3 linked regions of the Saccharomyces cerevisiae S288C genome follow. Changing the gene in region 2 together with the main gene of any one other region gives a genetic interaction. Each region holds a gene or a part of one and is shown on either strand. Other genes may lie near its edges.

Evidence for each region.
Region 1: mutations in YJL068C (region 2) and BPT1 together harm fitness more than expected from each alone (negative genetic interaction), as found in Saccharomyces cerevisiae (2 studies listed by BioGRID).
Region 3: mutations in YJL068C (region 2) and GDH3 together harm fitness more than expected from each alone (negative genetic interaction), as found in Saccharomyces cerevisiae (2 studies listed by BioGRID).

What each region holds. Positions count from the first base shown.
Region 1 is NC_001144.5:113,138-121,611, reverse strand, and holds BPT1 (ATP-binding cassette bilirubin transporter BPT1), read right to left. Parts: upstream 5,181-8,474; coding exon 501-5,180; downstream 1-500. Other genes in the region: EMC6 (Emc6p), read right to left, coding at 1-290. UniProt on the Saccharomyces cerevisiae protein: Cooperates for the ATP-dependent vacuolar transport of bilirubin and glutathione conjugates.
Region 2 is NC_001142.9:310,728-315,826, reverse strand, and holds YJL068C (S-formylglutathione hydrolase), read left to right. Parts: upstream 1-1,911; coding exon 1,912-2,811; downstream 2,812-5,099. Other genes in the region: mitochondrial 54S ribosomal protein bL17m MRPL8, read left to right, coding at 1-68; DLS1 (Dls1p), read left to right, coding at 270-773; MPM1 (Mpm1p), read left to right, coding at 955-1,713; UTP18 (Utp18p), read left to right, coding at 3,121-4,905. UniProt on the Saccharomyces cerevisiae protein: Serine hydrolase involved in the detoxification of formaldehyde.
Region 3 is NC_001133.9:28,636-33,440, forward strand, and holds GDH3 (glutamate dehydrogenase (NADP(+)) GDH3), read left to right. Parts: upstream 1-2,931; coding exon 2,932-4,305; downstream 4,306-4,805.

The DNA of each region.
Region 1 (8,474 bases), on a different chromosome or scaffold from region 2:
ACAAAACCAGTTATCTCTCTAAAAAACGATTCGAAAAAAATGTCATGAAGTGGGCTTTGGTAGAACTTTCCTGGTTGAAGTTGACAGATCCAAACAATGTAAATGACATTAATCAAGTTGTACAGAATCAGGAACCAAATAAACCCATGGACTGACTCGATTTGCAAAAATCCTGCAACAAGCCCTAGAACAAGTGCTGAGCTATCTTGCACGAAAAGTAAACGCTTCTTATTATCAACCACATTCGCAGTTGCGTTTATCTGAGTAAATACCTCTTCATTTGAGCTCATTTCTATCTGTCTGCCGCTGTCTTTCTCGAACACTGCTTGAGCAATCCAACATAAGGTTAAAATTAAGTTGTATTTAGTTATATCTCTACTAGCTTCATTTGTGATTACCCGGGTTACTAGAAAGCATATAGAAAGAAAAAGAATTGGCGTGACCGTACATATTGCAGCGCATTAAATGTTCTATATCTTCATATATAATAATCAATGTCATTATTTCAAATACCCACCTTTCTCACAAAGACTGTAAAAAATAGACGTTTTATCGGATAACAATTTCGAGGGTGAATCGAATTCCCTCACACTACCCTGGTCAAGAACAATTATCTTATCACTGTCCAATACAGTGTCGATACGATGTGCAATTGTTAAGATGGTACGGTCCTTAAATTCTCTTCTTATAGTGTCTTGGATAATTTTATCGGTTTCCATATCCACAGAAGCCGTTGCTTCATCAAGGACCAATATTTTGGAACGGTTTAGCAGCGCTCTTGCCAAACATAGTAGTTGTCTTTGCCCCACTGACAAGTTACTACCGTTCTCATTAATCTTGACATCCAGAATATCATTAACATTGCCATCCTCTTCATTAGAATCATCACCTCTTGGTTTACTGTGCAGCATTTTTTCCAGATGAGGCTTTAAATGTGCCTGCTCAACAGCCCTTTTAAGTTCATCTTCTGAATAACGATTGAAAGGGTCCAAATTGGTCTTTACTGTACCTTCAAAAGCTTGTGCATCCTGAGGAATAATTGCCAAATGGCTTCTTAAATCGAACAGACCTATGTCGGATATATCAATGCCGTCAATAATAATTTTACCTTCGGTAGGTTCTAGTATTCTAAATAATGCCAGGCTCAGTGTAGACTTCCCTGCACCTGTTCTGCCAACAATCCCAACCTTTTCACATGGCTCAATCTTCACGTTAATATTATTCAGCACTGGATCCAAATTTTCTCTGTATTTTGTGGAATAGTTTTTGAATTCAATACCACCCTTTGATGGCCAATTTTCATCTGGCCTCTTTTCAGGGTTAATGGACTGTGCTTCAGGTGGTAATTCGCAGTACTCAACAATTCTCTCCACTGATACAATGTTGGTTTCAATCGTCACAGTTGTCCTTACAATCCAAGTCAATGAACCTGTAACCTCTAATGAATAGCTCATTAGTAGACCAACCATACCCGAACTTAGTTGCCTTTTAGTATTCATTGTTGCTAGTGCTAAGATTGCAGTAGCCAAAACAATTGTAGCACCAATAGTTTGCAATCTCACGGATAACCATCTATTCGTTGATCTAAAGTTGAAGACAAAATCAACGTTGTATTGGATTTTTTCATAATTTAGATAGATGAATCTCTCAAAATGATCGTATGCATCAATAATAGAATAACCGTTCAAGCTCTCACTCATTAAGGACATAATCGGAGAGTAAGATATACTGATCAATCTTTTTAGCTCCCTAGATAGCACAATGTAAAATGTTTGATAGTAAATATAGATAACCACCAAAAACATATTGAACACTAAAAACCATGGCATATTGTACCCGACTAATATAACAGTAACCAAATAGGTTAGTATTGATTTGAAAAAAAAGGAGAAAATGTACTGTAGATTACTGTCCACTGCATCCATATCAGATGAGAACCTGTTTATGATCCTTCCAACTGGTGTAGTCTCAAAGAAAGTCATAGGACTTCTAATTACAGATTTGGCCATGCTTTCATGCAGTTTCTTAGAACCCCTAATAGAACAATACAGTAGCATCATAATACTCCGTAAATTATTGAATGCGGCCGATGCTACTCCGATTAAGGAATACACACCAACAAACATCCAAACCCTTTCATTTGAACCATTTTTTTCATTAGATTCTGACCAGTACTTTAACCAAAAATTCTCTGCTAAGTCGAAAACCCTTGTTAATATCATAAACAAGAAAAATAAAACAACACCTAAAACTCCACAAGCCTTAATATACGCAAGATAAATCTTTGTTTTGACTCTTCCCACCTCTGTCTTCTCGGCCTTTTGCGCCGTTTTCTTCACGGAATCCAATTGTGCTCCCACAAAGGGTCTAGGTCTTAGCGTAGCTAGAGAAGCTCTTCTAGAATTGGCTTTGATTAGTTCTAATTCACTCTCAGTAACAACCTCATCCTCAGTTTCTGATTCAGTTACTTTAAGCTGCAGAGGTTCATCCACTTCACTTTCGGATCGGTGTTCAGTTTGGACATCGCTTTCATTTCCATTATCAATCGGAGAATCAAATTCCTCTAGTAATTTTTTCAGTTTTGAAGTATTGTTCTTACGGTTCATTACATCCTCATAATTCCCTTGTTCAACAATTTCACCGTTTTCTAGCGCATATATCATCTGCGAATGTTTTAAAATTGATACAGTATTGGTAGTTAAAATAATTGTTTTATTTTTTAATAAAGCCGTCTTTCCGATCAAAACATATTCAATAATATTTTTACTAACTTCTGCATCAACAGCAGATAAAATGTCATCCAACAAATAAATATCTGCTCTCGAGTACACCGCTCTGGCTAATGAAAGACGGGCCTTCTGACCGCCTGATAGGGAAATGCCCTTTTCACCTACCAAAGTTTCATCACCATCTGGTAGTATTTTCAAATCGGGTAGCAATTGACATGCTTTAATAGTGAGGTCATAATAATCTTGGTCGAACTTGTGACCAAATAGAATGTTTTCTCTTACAGATGCGTTCATTATCCAGGATTCTTGTGAACAGTAGGCTACAGACGATGATCTAATGATCAGTTTAGGTGGTATCGAGTCCCTAGAACCACTCATGCAAGGAAGTTGACCAAGAATTGCCTTCAAAAATGTTGATTTACCAGCTCCTACCCGACCAACAACACAAACTAAATCACCCCTTTTTGCTTCAAAATGATCGATATTCTTCAACGCAATTTGAGAAGATCCGATAATAGACTCTTCATCTGTCCTCAAATTATCTCCAGATTGGCTAGATGTTAATACTTCTTTTGATTTCCATAAAAATGTAATATTATTCATCTCTATAGCAGGTAACGCTCTTTCATCCGCTGAAGGATCAATACGTTCGATGAACGAATCATCAATTTCGTCACTAAGTAGGAATGACTTTAATCTTTCCATAGAAACGCTTGTCTCTATAATGGTATTTATCATGGATGGAACGGAATAGATGGCACTGTTCAAAATATTAAATAAAGATAATGAAGGGAAGACAATGGCAGGAGATAACGGAGAATCACTAAATAAAGAAAATAAGCCAAATGTGGAACATGTCACCATTAAAGGTACACAATTCCACGCAAAATATATCAGATTGCTCACTATACCAATTTTCCGAAAATTTTTCAACTCCATATCATTACGAACATGATTCAATCTTGCCATCATAGGTTCCTCCCAGGCGTATAATTTAATAGATTTTATAGCATTCAAAAGCTCTGTAATAGTCTTGATTCTCATGTCCTTATACTTCATTTGAGTTTTTGATAGCTTTTTTACCTTTCTAGATAAGAAGGCATTGATAGGCATCATAATAGCCATAGTAACCAACCCTCCAATAACAGCCTTTCCTAGCAACCAGTACAGGGAAGTTAATACAACAATAATCTGAATAGGAGCGCCAATAATGGTTTGGGCATTTTCGAAAAACCGCTGGATCCTTAACACATCCACAGACATCAAATTTAAGATGTCACCAGTAGATTTTTCGTTACGCTCTGCTAGCGTCAATCTTAAGGACTTCTGATACACTAAAGAAGCTAAAGAGCCTCTTATCCCCAAACCAGCCTCAAAAATTCCAATATAAAATTGATTGGTGAGGAACACAGAAACCACGCTGATTACGAAAAGGGTTAGAGCAATAAATACACCATTTAAAGGAGGATATTTAGAAGATGTTTCCGGGTTCAAACCATCTATGAATATCCGTAGAAACTGGGGCTGTACTACAGAAAGTAAATCAGATGTCGTTTCATACAGCATAGCCACAGAAATAGTCCTACCAAATGACTTCCAAATGGCCCTCCAAAGAGAATTTCTATTCAACCATTTTTCCAATTCCCAGTTAGCCTTAAATTCCTTACTTATCGACTTAATATTCAGATCTACTGGCGGCAATGGTAACTGGTTAGGATCTTTGATTTTCTTGTTACGGTAAGTTTCCACAATCAGTTTGTTCATCCAGATAAATGTAATATAGGATAGTACATGAACGGGGGGATACCACCCATTTTTCTTGTAGTATTCAGATAATTCGTTAATTGGCTCAAAAATGCATAGATCATAAATAAAAATTGCCACAGAATTGAAAAGAAGGAGCACTTCTAAAATCATAGCAGTTTGTCCGCTAATAACAGTAAGCCTTTCGTTACTAGAACCATGATAGTACCTCTGCAATATCAAGAAGAGCTGTAGAAGAATTTGAAACATGTAATAGAAAAGCTGGTTGCCCATTGAAAATGTACTTTTAAAATAAGCTAAGTATTGAGTAGGGAGAGAAATACCCAAATTGAAAAGGAGATTCAAGTACAGAGCCTTCTTTAGTATAAATGGATAAACCCTATCGCTAGATTGGGATACCAAGGCCAGTTCACAAATTATAAGCGTGGACTGAAAGCAAACATTGGTCAAATGCGTTAGATGTCGACTGTTGATTTTACTTGGTAATGTAGGAAAGTTCTTAAATCTGGGTGGTACTTTATTGTTCTTATAAAGTTTCCACAATTGATAGCTACCAATCAATAGGAAAAAGACGGCTTGCCAGGCGGATATTACTGATATAAAACATGGATTTAATGCATTTGTGCCACTATCTGGATATGGTCGGTATCCATAGGGGCACCCATCTACCACTTCTAGTGAAGACATTGTCTTTATATTAATCTTTTTTAGACAAAATTTTCTTTATGATCTCTTTAAAATTAACCACTGCTAATATATGTTCAGAAGAGACCTTGGTATAGAAAAGTATGCGAGGACAATCTGTTGATAGGTTCAGGAGTATGCGATTTTAATTTGGAGAACTGGCTGAATTAACTTATACTCAGGCGCAATTTTTTAAAGGGAATTGGAATTATCGCGATGTCGCTACGGCCAAAAATTTGAGGGCATTTAAATATTATGGTATGCTATAAATAAGCAAATATATAATAAACTAGGCAAACAATACGATCAACATTGTGGGATAGCAGCCGTCGGGCTTGATGACGGACATAGTTTACTATAGTGATCAATAAATAATATAACAGGAGAAAACAAACAAAATAATTAATCCACCGAGAGAAGGAAATCGAACATACGGCGCCGTTACTTAGAAACCTTGGGAGCTTTTTTCTTTGTCTTATGTAATTGAAATTTTGGAAATCTGTCTTTCTTAGTGGATGTTTTTCCTTCATCGGTTTGGTCATCCCTGGATTTTTCTTGTGATTTATTATTCGAATTGGAATTCGGAACGACTTTCTTTCTTGGTTTTGGTTCAATAATTAATGATAATTGGTATTGTTTCTCAATATGGGGGATGTTTTCCAATGAATTTGATATACATTCAATTACCGTCCGATCTTTAGTGAAATCATAATGTGTTTTCTTGAAATATATGATCTCTTGTAAGATATCAACAAGTCTGCTCCTTTTGTTGAAGTTTATATATTTCTTCTCATCATGGACACCCTTTAAACCATGTTCCAAGACAAGATAATCCGGATTTCCGGAATCAGTAAAGGTTAGATCAGATAAATAAACGCCGAAAAACGGTACGCAGGGAGCGCTATGTAAAGATTTCAGCTCGTTTCTGTAATTTATGAAATTTTTCTTGGGATCCATCAACTTGTTCAGTGACTGCAATAGATCTCTCGTTTGAGGAATAACTGCCTGCCAGGTTTTCTCTAAACGATAAATTGGTGAAGAATATAATGCTGAAATGATTGCAGTCATGGAAGAAAAGTTATTGAATTTCCTACAATATTCTGCGATAAAAATAAAATGAGAGAGTAGCTTGGCGCGCTTACTTTTATCAGCCTCCTTTACAACAGAGTAGGATATGAAATTTGTCAGTTTATTGGCAAAACTGATAAACTCGTTCAAACCCGGTGAAGCCCCATACGATTTTGTATACTTGTTCTTCCAAATTTTTTGTAAACAATCAAAAATGGTTATCTCACAATAAATTTCATGCTCTAGTATCGTTAATTGAGTGGCAAATAAAACTGGATCGACGGCCAAAATGGATTCCGTGGTAGAGTATAAAGTGCCCGAGTAATGGTCCTGGCAGATCTGTTGATCTAACGTTTTCATTGGTGCAGTCGCTTCTTGTATATTACCATGTTTAAACTTCTGATTGACCTCCTTTAGTAATTCCACAGATCCTGTTATATTTTCCTTGATTGCTACTTGCGCAAAATAATCCAGATTTAGGGTCGCAAGATCGGGCTCATCATAGCCCAGGAACCAATATTGCTTGAAAAAGGTTGTCATAATCTCAACCACCCTACATTTAACCGGTATAAGCTTTTTCGTCACCCATTCATTGTATTCTTCAAAGCACAAATCCTCTGGTGGATCCAAATTATATTGCGAAATCAAGTAGCTTAAAAACTCCGTTGTAGTAAAGATGCTTCTGAAAGTGATTAAAAAAGTAATATCGAAAAATAGATCCTTCTTTTCATTATCTGTCAAGTAAGAGATCAGTGCGTGTTTAGAACCACCTTTAATCCTATTGTTAGAGCCCCAAATCAGTTCACTGTCATACTCGCGCTGCAAATACCTCGGTAATTTGACTTGGCTGTCACGCCATTCGTCATTGTCTTTAGTATCTGAATCTGCATAAACAGCATTCGTGTCACTTTTTTCGGCAGTTTCACCGCCGTCATAGGACCCATAGCCTTCTTCCCCGCGCAATAGCAATTCCGTGATATTGTTTTTCATCATTCTAGCAGCATAATTTAACAAATTCTCTCTTTCTAGAATTAATTGATTCACGAACTCAATGGCTAGTTTAAGCACATCAAAATAGTCATCACAGGATTTTTTAAAAACGTGGGCGAGATTAAAAAACTTTAAATCATTGAAATCAGAATCTTGATTGATGAGGTTGTGGAAGAGAATAAGACTATCCGGGTCTGGCTCATATTCATCTTCCTCCTCTTGGATATCAGTATTTTGGCTCCCATTCTTCTTATCCTTGGCATTATCTAAATTCAAGGATGAAGGTTTCATTGGTTCATAATAACCGGTAGGCAAGTCGTTTTGCATTGGCGAGAAAACGAAAGGATCCTCTAATGTCAAATGCTGGGCGACAATTATAAATTTCACTACTACATCATGAAAATATTGCTTCATATTAAAATAGTCGGATAAGATATACGATAGGGATGATAAAGAATGTTTCAAAAACTCTTCATCTTCATCATCAATAGCGACATCTTCGTCAAAAACTCTATTCTCATCTCCCAACTCTCTCAAGTTTAGAAAAATAGTTAAATCTAGGTTTTCCAGAATATCAATTATAGGAATTGTTCCGCTTACTTCTTCGTAGGTTTTGAAATTCATTTCAAAATTCAACATTTTTGAAAAATTAGCCGTGTTACTGAGATATTCATTAGCACTTTTGATCATTTGTTTTAGTTTACCATCAAGCTGCTTCTTCCTGGCCCTTACAAGGCTTAGAGTTTCTTCATTTAGCGGGTATGGTTTTTTCCTTTTGGACCATATGGTGTCAGACTCATCGGAACTTCCTGACACATTAGAGAAAATGGTACCTCTTCTCCTTCTTTGAAACGGGGCTGATGGTGAATGGTGAGACGTTTCTGACGAGCATGAAGTGCCCTGTTTGGAAGCTGGAATTTCATCAATATTTTCCGCAACAATTCCTGAAGCACCAGCAACGGCTTTAATCATCTGTCTCGGTAGGTCATGGGACATATGCTGGTTGAGACGCTTACGCAAAAACGGGTTATTCCATGAAATTGTATTGAAAGAATCCTTGAAAAATCGAGGAGTCAATTGAGGCAGTATTGTAAGTTCGTTAGGATTTGAGAGGAAATGTAGTAAACGCAGTAGAAAATGAAATTTTTGGAAGGTTCCTAGGATTGACTGTAGAAGAGGGGATCTTCTTTCTGGATCCTTCTGGGAGGCTATGGCTTCTCTTTCTTCAAACAATGTGGA
Region 2 (5,099 bases):
TCTACTCTTCGTCATTGCCAAAGAAGACGAAGAAACCCTCCTCCTATGTCATGGTTCCCAGACCTTAAAAAAACCAGGATTTTGTGTATTCCCTTGTAAATATATAGATGACAATTGAAAGAACAGCGCTAACAATGTGCGTATTCTAATATAGTGTTTTTTTTTTTTTCCAACTAGAGAAAAAAATGAAAAATGTAAGAGAAACAAAACAGAAGAAACAAGAGAGAATAGCGTCAGGATAGCTCGCTCGATGTGATCAGGCTAACACAATGAACAACGAGACTAGTGGTAAAGAAACGGCGTCTGCACCTCTGTGTTCGCCCAAGTTACCTGTAGAAAAAGTGCAGAGAATAGCCAAGAATGATCCAGAATATATGGACACTTCGGATGACGCATTCGTAGCCACAGCGTTTGCTACAGAATTCTTCGTCCAGGTGCTGACACATGAGTCCCTACATAGGCAACAGCAGCAGCAACAACAACAGGTACCGCCGCTCCCAGATGAACTCACGCTGTCGTACGATGACATCTCTGCCGCAATTGTGCACTCTTCTGACGGCCATCTGCAGTTTTTGAATGATGTGATACCAACAACAAAGAATTTGAGGCTTCTAGTGGAAGAAAACCGAGTTAGATATACTACAAGTGTCATGCCCCCTAATGAAGTTTACTCCGCCTATGTGGTGAACGATACGGCTCCGAAGCCCAACATTGTCGAGATTGATCTTGATAATGACGAAGACGACGACGAAGACGTTACTGATCAAGAATAACTACACAAGCACATTGCATAGAAGGATTTTTCTTCTCTCTCTCACGATCTGTAGAACAACATAGTTTCTTTATACGTTAATTAAGTAAAGGGGAAAAAAAAAATATTAAGCCTTGAATTTAGGAGGTTACAAACGAAAAGGACAAGAAAGACAAAGGAAACCGACAAACCGTTTACTCGATATGGGCTTTTATGAAGGCGATGACAATGATGCCAACACCAAGGCATTTAATGACAAATATATCAAAGATCAAAAGTTCGCAACGGCACCCTTCTGGAACCTCTTTCCAAAGTTAAGGGATATTGATGAATACGATAATCCACTCCTACCACTGCCCTTCAATTTCAACTTCAGAGATCTTGGAGATAGTGCACTTGCCATGGCGTCCGGAATCCCTACGGTGAAGCAGTTTGACAAGTGCGAAGAACTTAAGGGCCAGTCTGCATGGACCACCCAAGGGATTTGGAAATGTCTTGTCCCAAGTAAGGCTATCCCCCCTCTACCACAATTGGACTTCCTCTTACCTCTGGAGGAGATCAAATCTGACAAGTCGCACTCTCATGGGTTGTTCTTCAATGATTTCAACCTCTTTTTGAAGTGGAGGTCGCACATGAATAGACTACAAAAACAAAGAATCAAGACTAGGAGCACTGCCGTAGAGCCTCTGGCTAGAACTCCAGAAGACCTCATGTTGAATTGGGACGACTTGCATCTGGGCAACGATGCTGAATATGCTTCTGCAGATGGATCCAAGAAAATTGTTGGAAGGGCACAGTCCATTAGTACCACGAAGGATTCCAATGATGCAAAACCCAGCACCGTCAAAACTGAAAAAATCTACTTTGACGATGGCACGGTAGACATTACTACCACCACTACCTCCAAGGGTTCCAGTCCCCAGGTGAAGCATAAAGTGGTGAGTGTTGACGAAGACAATTAGGACATATTTTCGTTTCCTTTTTTTACTCATATCTTACACAATATGCCTTGTATATATCGCACGATTATGACCTTGCGCGTGTGGAAAACATGCGACTGCTAAGGGGAGATCCACACACACACACACAAAAGATCAATACACATTTTTGACAATATATAGCATCAATAAAATACATATAAGCGATTCACATAGTTCAATATGAAGGTTGTTAAGGAATTTAGTGTCTGTGGTGGCAGATTGATCAAGTTGTCACATAACTCGAACTCTACCAAGACCAGCATGAACGTCAATATCTATTTGCCTAAGCACTATTACGCCCAAGATTTTCCAAGAAATAAGCGTATCCCAACTGTGTTTTACCTTTCTGGCTTGACGTGCACGCCAGACAACGCCTCTGAGAAGGCTTTTTGGCAGTTTCAAGCTGACAAGTACGGATTTGCAATAGTCTTTCCGGATACGTCCCCACGTGGTGACGAAGTAGCCAATGATCCTGAGGGCTCCTGGGATTTTGGACAGGGCGCCGGATTCTATCTAAATGCCACCCAAGAACCATACGCCCAACATTACCAGATGTACGACTACATTCACAAAGAACTCCCACAAACATTAGATTCTCATTTTAACAAGAACGGTGACGTAAAGCTGGACTTCTTGGACAATGTTGCCATCACAGGCCATTCGATGGGGGGATATGGTGCAATTTGTGGGTATTTGAAGGGCTATTCCGGAAAGAGATACAAATCTTGTTCTGCCTTCGCCCCTATCGTGAACCCTTCCAACGTTCCCTGGGGTCAAAAAGCGTTTAAAGGTTATCTGGGCGAAGAAAAAGCCCAGTGGGAAGCGTACGACCCATGTTTATTAATCAAGAATATTAGACATGTGGGCGACGACAGAATTTTGATCCATGTAGGAGACTCCGATCCCTTTTTGGAAGAACACTTGAAACCGGAATTACTACTTGAGGCGGTGAAAGCCACTTCATGGCAGGACTACGTGGAAATAAAAAAAGTTCACGGCTTTGATCACTCCTATTACTTTGTCAGCACTTTCGTTCCAGAACATGCTGAATTTCATGCGCGAAACTTGGGTTTGATTTGAGAGGCATCGCATTTCATTATGGTAATTTTTATGACTTTTCTATGTACATATTTAGTGAAATATACGTCCGTAGAAAAAAATGGCCAAACATAGTTATCCTTTCAAAGGTTATTCGCAGTAGATTTTATGTCACCTGTAACTTCCATTACTATTGCTATTATGTGGTTAATTGGCATCACATCCGACGAATTTAATAATATGAAATGAAAAAAACGAAAAATAAAAAAATTTCACCTCATCTCATCGATCACTCTGGTCCTGTTGTGGTATCGTTCTTGAAAGTGTATATCAGCCTACATTAGTGCGACAATGACAATGGCAACAACCGCAATGAATGTTAGCGTACCTCCACCAGATGAAGAAGAACAGTTACTAGCCAAATTTGTATTCGGTGATACAACAGATTTACAAGAAAATCTCGCTAAATTTAATGCCGATTTCATTTTCAATGAACAAGAAATGGATGTTGAAGACCAGGAGGATGAGGGATCTGAATCAGATAACAGTGAAGAAGATGAAGCGCAGAACGGTGAATTAGACCATGTTAACAACGATCAGTTATTTTTTGTGGACGATGGTGGTAACGAAGATAGTCAAGATAAGAATGAAGATACCATGGACGTGGATGACGAAGATGACTCTTCAAGCGATGATTATTCTGAGGACTCTGAAGAAGCTGCTTGGATAGATTCGGATGATGAAAAAATTAAAGTGCCTATTCTTGTTACCAATAAGACAAAGAAATTAAGAACCTCCTATAACGAGTCCAAAATCAACGGTGTTCATTACATCAACAGATTGAGATCTCAGTTTGAAAAGATATATCCAAGGCCCAAATGGGTGGACGATGAATCTGATTCTGAATTAGATGACGAAGAAGACGATGAAGAAGAAGGCTCTAATAATGTTATTAATGGAGATATTAATGCTCTAACGAAGATCCTGTCTACTACTTACAATTATAAAGACACTTTATCGAATTCCAAACTATTACCCCCTAAGAAACTTGACATTGTGCGTCTTAAAGATGCAAATGCATCACACCCGTCTCATTCCGCCATACAATCTCTTTCATTCCATCCTTCTAAGCCTCTACTGTTAACGGGTGGGTATGATAAGACCTTAAGAATATATCATATTGACGGGAAAACGAACCATCTAGTGACAAGTTTGCACCTGGTTGGGTCTCCAATACAAACATGTACTTTCTATACTTCTCTATCAAACCAAAATCAACAAAATATATTCACCGCCGGTAGAAGAAGATATATGCATTCCTGGGACTTATCCTTAGAAAATTTAACTCATTCACAGACTGCCAAAATCGAAAAATTTTCCAGATTGTATGGACATGAGTCCACTCAAAGATCATTTGAGAATTTCAAAGTTGCACATTTGCAGAATTCACAAACAAATTCTGTCCATGGAATTGTCCTTTTACAGGGTAATAATGGTTGGATTAACATTTTACATTCCACTTCCGGACTATGGTTAATGGGCTGCAAGATAGAAGGTGTGATAACGGATTTCTGTATCGATTATCAACCTATTTCACGTGGTAAGTTTAGGACCATTTTAATTGCTGTAAACGCGTATGGTGAAGTGTGGGAATTTGACTTGAATAAGAATGGCCATGTTATAAGAAGATGGAAAGACCAAGGTGGCGTGGGTATAACAAAAATCCAAGTTGGTGGTGGGACAACAACTACTTGTCCGGCTCTTCAAATAAGTAAGATAAAGCAAAATAGGTGGCTTGCGGTAGGTAGTGAGAGTGGATTTGTTAATCTTTACGATAGAAATAATGCTATGACCTCGTCGACCCCTACACCTGTCGCCGCCTTGGACCAGCTAACAACTACCATTTCTAATCTACAATTTTCCCCTGATGGTCAAATACTGTGCATGGCATCCCGTGCAGTCAAGGATGCTTTGAGACTAGTTCATCTGCCTTCTTGTAGCGTGTTCAGCAACTGGCCTACCAGCGGGACGCCTTTGGGTAAAGTTACCAGTGTCGCATTTTCGCCATCTGGTGGGCTACTGGCCGTGGGTAACGAACAAGGTAAAGTGAGGCTCTGGAAATTAAACCACTACTAAATTTCCATTTATAGACAAACTTAGATATTAAAAGCAATGTACAAATACATACACAAAATATCACTGTAAAAAAATTGCGAAGAAACTTGAAATTGAATATGATTCTGCCCACTTTTTTCTTGCTGTCATTTATAGTCAGAAATGAAAAATTGTCCGAGAAATTAAATATAATATATGGAAAAAAAGGGGACATT
Region 3 (4,805 bases), on a different chromosome or scaffold from region 2:
CATGTAACTTTAATGTCAAATAAAGTTTTCACCTAGTAAGCGCGATACAAAAAAAACACAGAAATAGCCATAGGAAAGTGAATTTTGTCAGCCGACTAAAATTAAGGTTAGCTTACAAAGCAGCAAAAAATTTGACATCGCACGGTATTCCCTGAAAAAGGAGCAGGCAGGTGCTGTATATTTTTTTCGGTTCCTGCCTCTTACATGGCGTCGGTGTATCTTAAATACTAAAGTGAGCTGACTACCCTTTTGAGTGCCCTATGTGACCTCTGATCTCGAAAGTAAACAAGAGATACCTAATTTCACAGCCACTTTTTGTTGCGGACACTGACGGGATGTGTTGTGAATATTTTAAACCTTAAAAGTATTTATTGGTTAGTTATACTTAATTCTTATACGTCCTTTAAAACCAGTGTGCAGTAAGTCTGTCACACAAAAATATGATTGATGCATTTTCAAAAAATAATGGCTTTGAGGTAATTCGTTCCACTTTTGAGACTTATTCACATGTCCCAGCTGGGTGCAATCAAAATATACCGGCATTTCAGCAAGGTAACTATATACGCTTTTTTTCTCATGGTTTTTGAAATCATACCTGCCAAGCTTGCTGCACTTGGAAGGCAACTCCGTTTTTCAGAGATTAGATCCTTTTTTTTTTGAAGAAAAGGCAGCCAAGTTACGTCATAGAGAAAACTCCCTAGAGCGCTGCAAACACTTGTTAGTTTGCAGCTTACTTCACGTGTGGCTGGAAAATTGAAAAGTTACAATACGGTAAAAATACTTTGAAGACACTACACTATAACTGCTTGACCAAATTTTTACTCGTGAAAAATTTGTTCCAGCCGGTCTGTTACTGATATTAAGTTAAGGAATAGTAAACCGTATATTTTTCATCCACGTTTTTGTAGTTTATTTTCGGTTTACTAGCTATGCATTGATTGTCTATCAGAGCATATCAAGGTGGTTATGGAGGTGCTGATATTTAATCAATAAAATTATAGAAATTTTGAGAAAACAATAATGATTGTTTCTACAATGAAAATCAGTTCATGGAATAGTTGCCTTCGCACTACTTTTTCACCAGATTAATGGTGCATCAGAGCTTTCCCTTTTTGTCTTTTTCTTGTTTCCTTTTTCGATTGGTTTATCACGTAAGTTTCTTATGACATAAGAAGAGGCAAGAAACGAAAAGGGAAATATTGCCTACTTTTTTCTTTTCGAACGTAAATAATGACGGGATTTTGGTGTCATTTTTTTTCGTCTGGATTTTCTCAGAGAAGTACGTTTCGTCGCACAAGCTAAAATCATTGACAGGGCATGAGTTACGTCAATCTCTGGTCAATCCATGTCCAAAAAAATTTCTTGATTTGTTCAAAGTTTTTGCATAGGCACATTAATTGGTTTAGCGAAGTATACATTCTGAAGAACATTTTTGGGTGTATTTTCCACATAGAAAATTCGATTTTTTTTTTTCAATGCACCACTTGTCGAGTATACGTTAACTTTAATGTATTGAAGATGCAAAAATGAAAAGCCTACTTGGCATATGGAATTACAATAAATGGTCAATTCCTGTTTAAGCTAGCAGCGGCACTGTCGGTGTAAATTTGGGTTTAAACTATTGTTTACTTACTTTGAGAAATTTATGTATCGCCTATATTTTTCAATAAGTGCGATATCTTTAGCTTTCCACAGAACCCCCCCTCAGGCTATGGACGTGCGGTTATATGATCTTCTAATAAAAATCTCTTAGACTACGGTTCATGGAATACTTCTTGACTTCTTGGCGAAGGAAAGGCGCATAAATGTTGTGATCGAATGACCAGTAATACGTCGTTTGTTCTCTTGCTGAACAGCGAGGAAGAGATATTCATCCAAATGCATGAACGCAGAATCCTGTAAAAGTCGTAAAAATGTTAATCGCAATGTTGTAAAAACCGTCAAGGCATTTATCGTTCAAAATGGCGATCATTGTTACTACTAAACACTTACTGTTAAATTAAAAAGCTGATGTTGCGTAATCCATTGACCAATTCATAGGCAATGTATTTCAATGACGCACAAGATTCATAACAAATTTTTTATTTACGATGTACCTGTACATTGTGCAGAAGGTCTTCAGAGTGAGTTTAAGCTAGGCTGTAAATATTTTAATGTTAAGATGAAATTTAAGTGAGCTGGTAATATCAAGTGAGGCATAATTTGTTATATGTAGCTGAACTTCAACTTTAAATAGAAAAATTACAACTAACAAGCACCGGATTGTTTCAGAATTCAAAGTGTAGAAGCTATTATTCTTGCAAAATAAAACGCTTTCAAAGTTTTCTTCTATAAACATACTTGTGGCAGCTTGTTTTTTTTGTTTTATTTTTAAGTTTTGTTGGGTCTCTGAGAACTTTCAAAAAAAGAAAAAGTAAAGTATGATAAAACGGAGCACTTGCCAAAGTAATTAACGCCCATTAAAAAGAAGGCATAGGAGGCATATACATATATATATATATATATATATATGGCTGCTGACAGATATTCTGCACTTAAAAACTAAAAATATTATACCAACTTTTCTTTTTCTTCCCGTTCAGTTTGCTTGATTGGCCCAGCTCTTTGAAGAAAGGAAAAAATGCGGAGAGGGAGCCAATGAGATTTTAAAGGGTATATTACTTATCTTATCGATAAGCAGTATTGATATTAAAGGGACAGTTTTATCGTTGGTTAATATGGAAAAAGTGATGACCATGATGCCTTTCTTAAAAAGAGTATTTCTTTTTATTTCACTTTCACATAAACAGTTAATGACTTCTGACTTTGAGCCGTTCGAACTCAGTTATATAAAGGTACATACATAGGCCACACACACACACACACACACATATATATATATATATAGGGAAGTAGCAACAGTCACCGAAAAGAAAAGGTAAAAAGTAAAAAATGACAAGCGAACCAGAGTTTCAGCAGGCTTACGATGAGATCGTTTCTTCTGTGGAGGATTCCAAAATTTTTGAAAAATTCCCACAGTATAAAAAAGTGTTACCTATTGTTTCTGTCCCGGAGAGGATCATTCAATTCAGGGTCACGTGGGAAAATGATAATGGCGAGCAAGAAGTGGCTCAAGGATACAGGGTGCAGTTCAATTCAGCCAAGGGCCCTTACAAGGGTGGCCTACGCTTCCACCCATCAGTGAACCTGTCTATCCTAAAATTTTTGGGTTTTGAACAGATCTTCAAGAATGCGCTCACTGGGCTAGATATGGGCGGTGGTAAGGGTGGCCTGTGTGTGGACTTGAAAGGCAAGTCTGACAACGAGATCAGAAGGATTTGTTATGCGTTCATGAGAGAACTGAGCAGGCATATTGGTAAGGACACAGACGTGCCCGCAGGAGATATTGGTGTCGGTGGCCGTGAAATTGGCTACCTATTCGGCGCTTACAGATCATACAAGAACTCCTGGGAAGGTGTGTTGACTGGTAAGGGTTTAAACTGGGGTGGCTCACTTATCAGGCCGGAGGCCACCGGGTTCGGCTTAGTTTACTATACGCAAGCAATGATCGATTATGCAACAAACGGCAAGGAGTCGTTTGAGGGCAAACGTGTGACAATCTCCGGAAGTGGCAATGTTGCGCAATATGCAGCTTTGAAAGTGATCGAGCTGGGTGGTATTGTGGTGTCTTTATCCGATTCGAAGGGGTGCATCATCTCTGAGACGGGCATTACTTCTGAGCAAATTCACGATATCGCTTCCGCCAAGATCCGTTTCAAGTCGTTAGAGGAAATCGTTGATGAATACTCTACTTTCAGCGAAAGTAAGATGAAGTACGTTGCAGGAGCACGCCCATGGACGCATGTGAGCAACGTCGACATTGCCTTGCCCTGTGCCACCCAAAACGAGGTCAGTGGTGACGAAGCCAAGGCCCTAGTGGCATCTGGCGTTAAGTTCGTTGCCGAAGGTGCTAACATGGGTTCTACACCCGAGGCTATTTCTGTTTTCGAAACAGCGCGTAGCACTGCAACCAATGCAAAGGATGCAGTTTGGTTTGGGCCACCAAAGGCAGCTAACCTGGGCGGCGTGGCAGTATCCGGTCTGGAAATGGCTCAGAATTCTCAAAAAGTAACTTGGACTGCCGAGCGGGTCGATCAAGAACTAAAGAAGATAATGATCAACTGCTTCAACGACTGCATACAGGCCGCACAAGAGTACTCTACGGAAAAAAATACAAACACCTTGCCATCATTGGTCAAGGGGGCCAACATTGCCAGCTTCGTCATGGTGGCTGACGCAATGCTTGACCAGGGAGACGTTTTTTAGCCGTAAGCGCTATTTTCTTTTTGTTCGTAACTATCTGTGTATGTAGTAGTGTAATCTACTTTTAATTTACTATGCAAATAGGGTTCAGCATTACGGAAGAAACTGAAATCCCTTCCGCGGAAGTTTCTTAGTAGTGGCCGTGCGGGGTGAGGAGATTACATGTCGGTAATTAGATGATTAACCTAGGCAATTTGAAGGGGGATAGTGGCATTGGTTAGCTCAGATATGATAAGGAGAACTAAGCAAGGGGGTTAACCACCACGGCTGTAGCACAAGACCGGCAGATGCGATTATTAGCAACACATTAGTTAATGCTTTTGATAAAATGTATATAAAGGCTGTCGTAATGTGCAGTAGTAAGGACCTGACTGTGTTTGTGGTTCTCTTCATTCTTGAACCTTGTCATTGGTAAAAGACCATCGTCAAGATATTTGAAAGTTAATAGACAGTTAACAATAATAACAACAGCAATAAGAATAACAATAAATTCATTGAACATA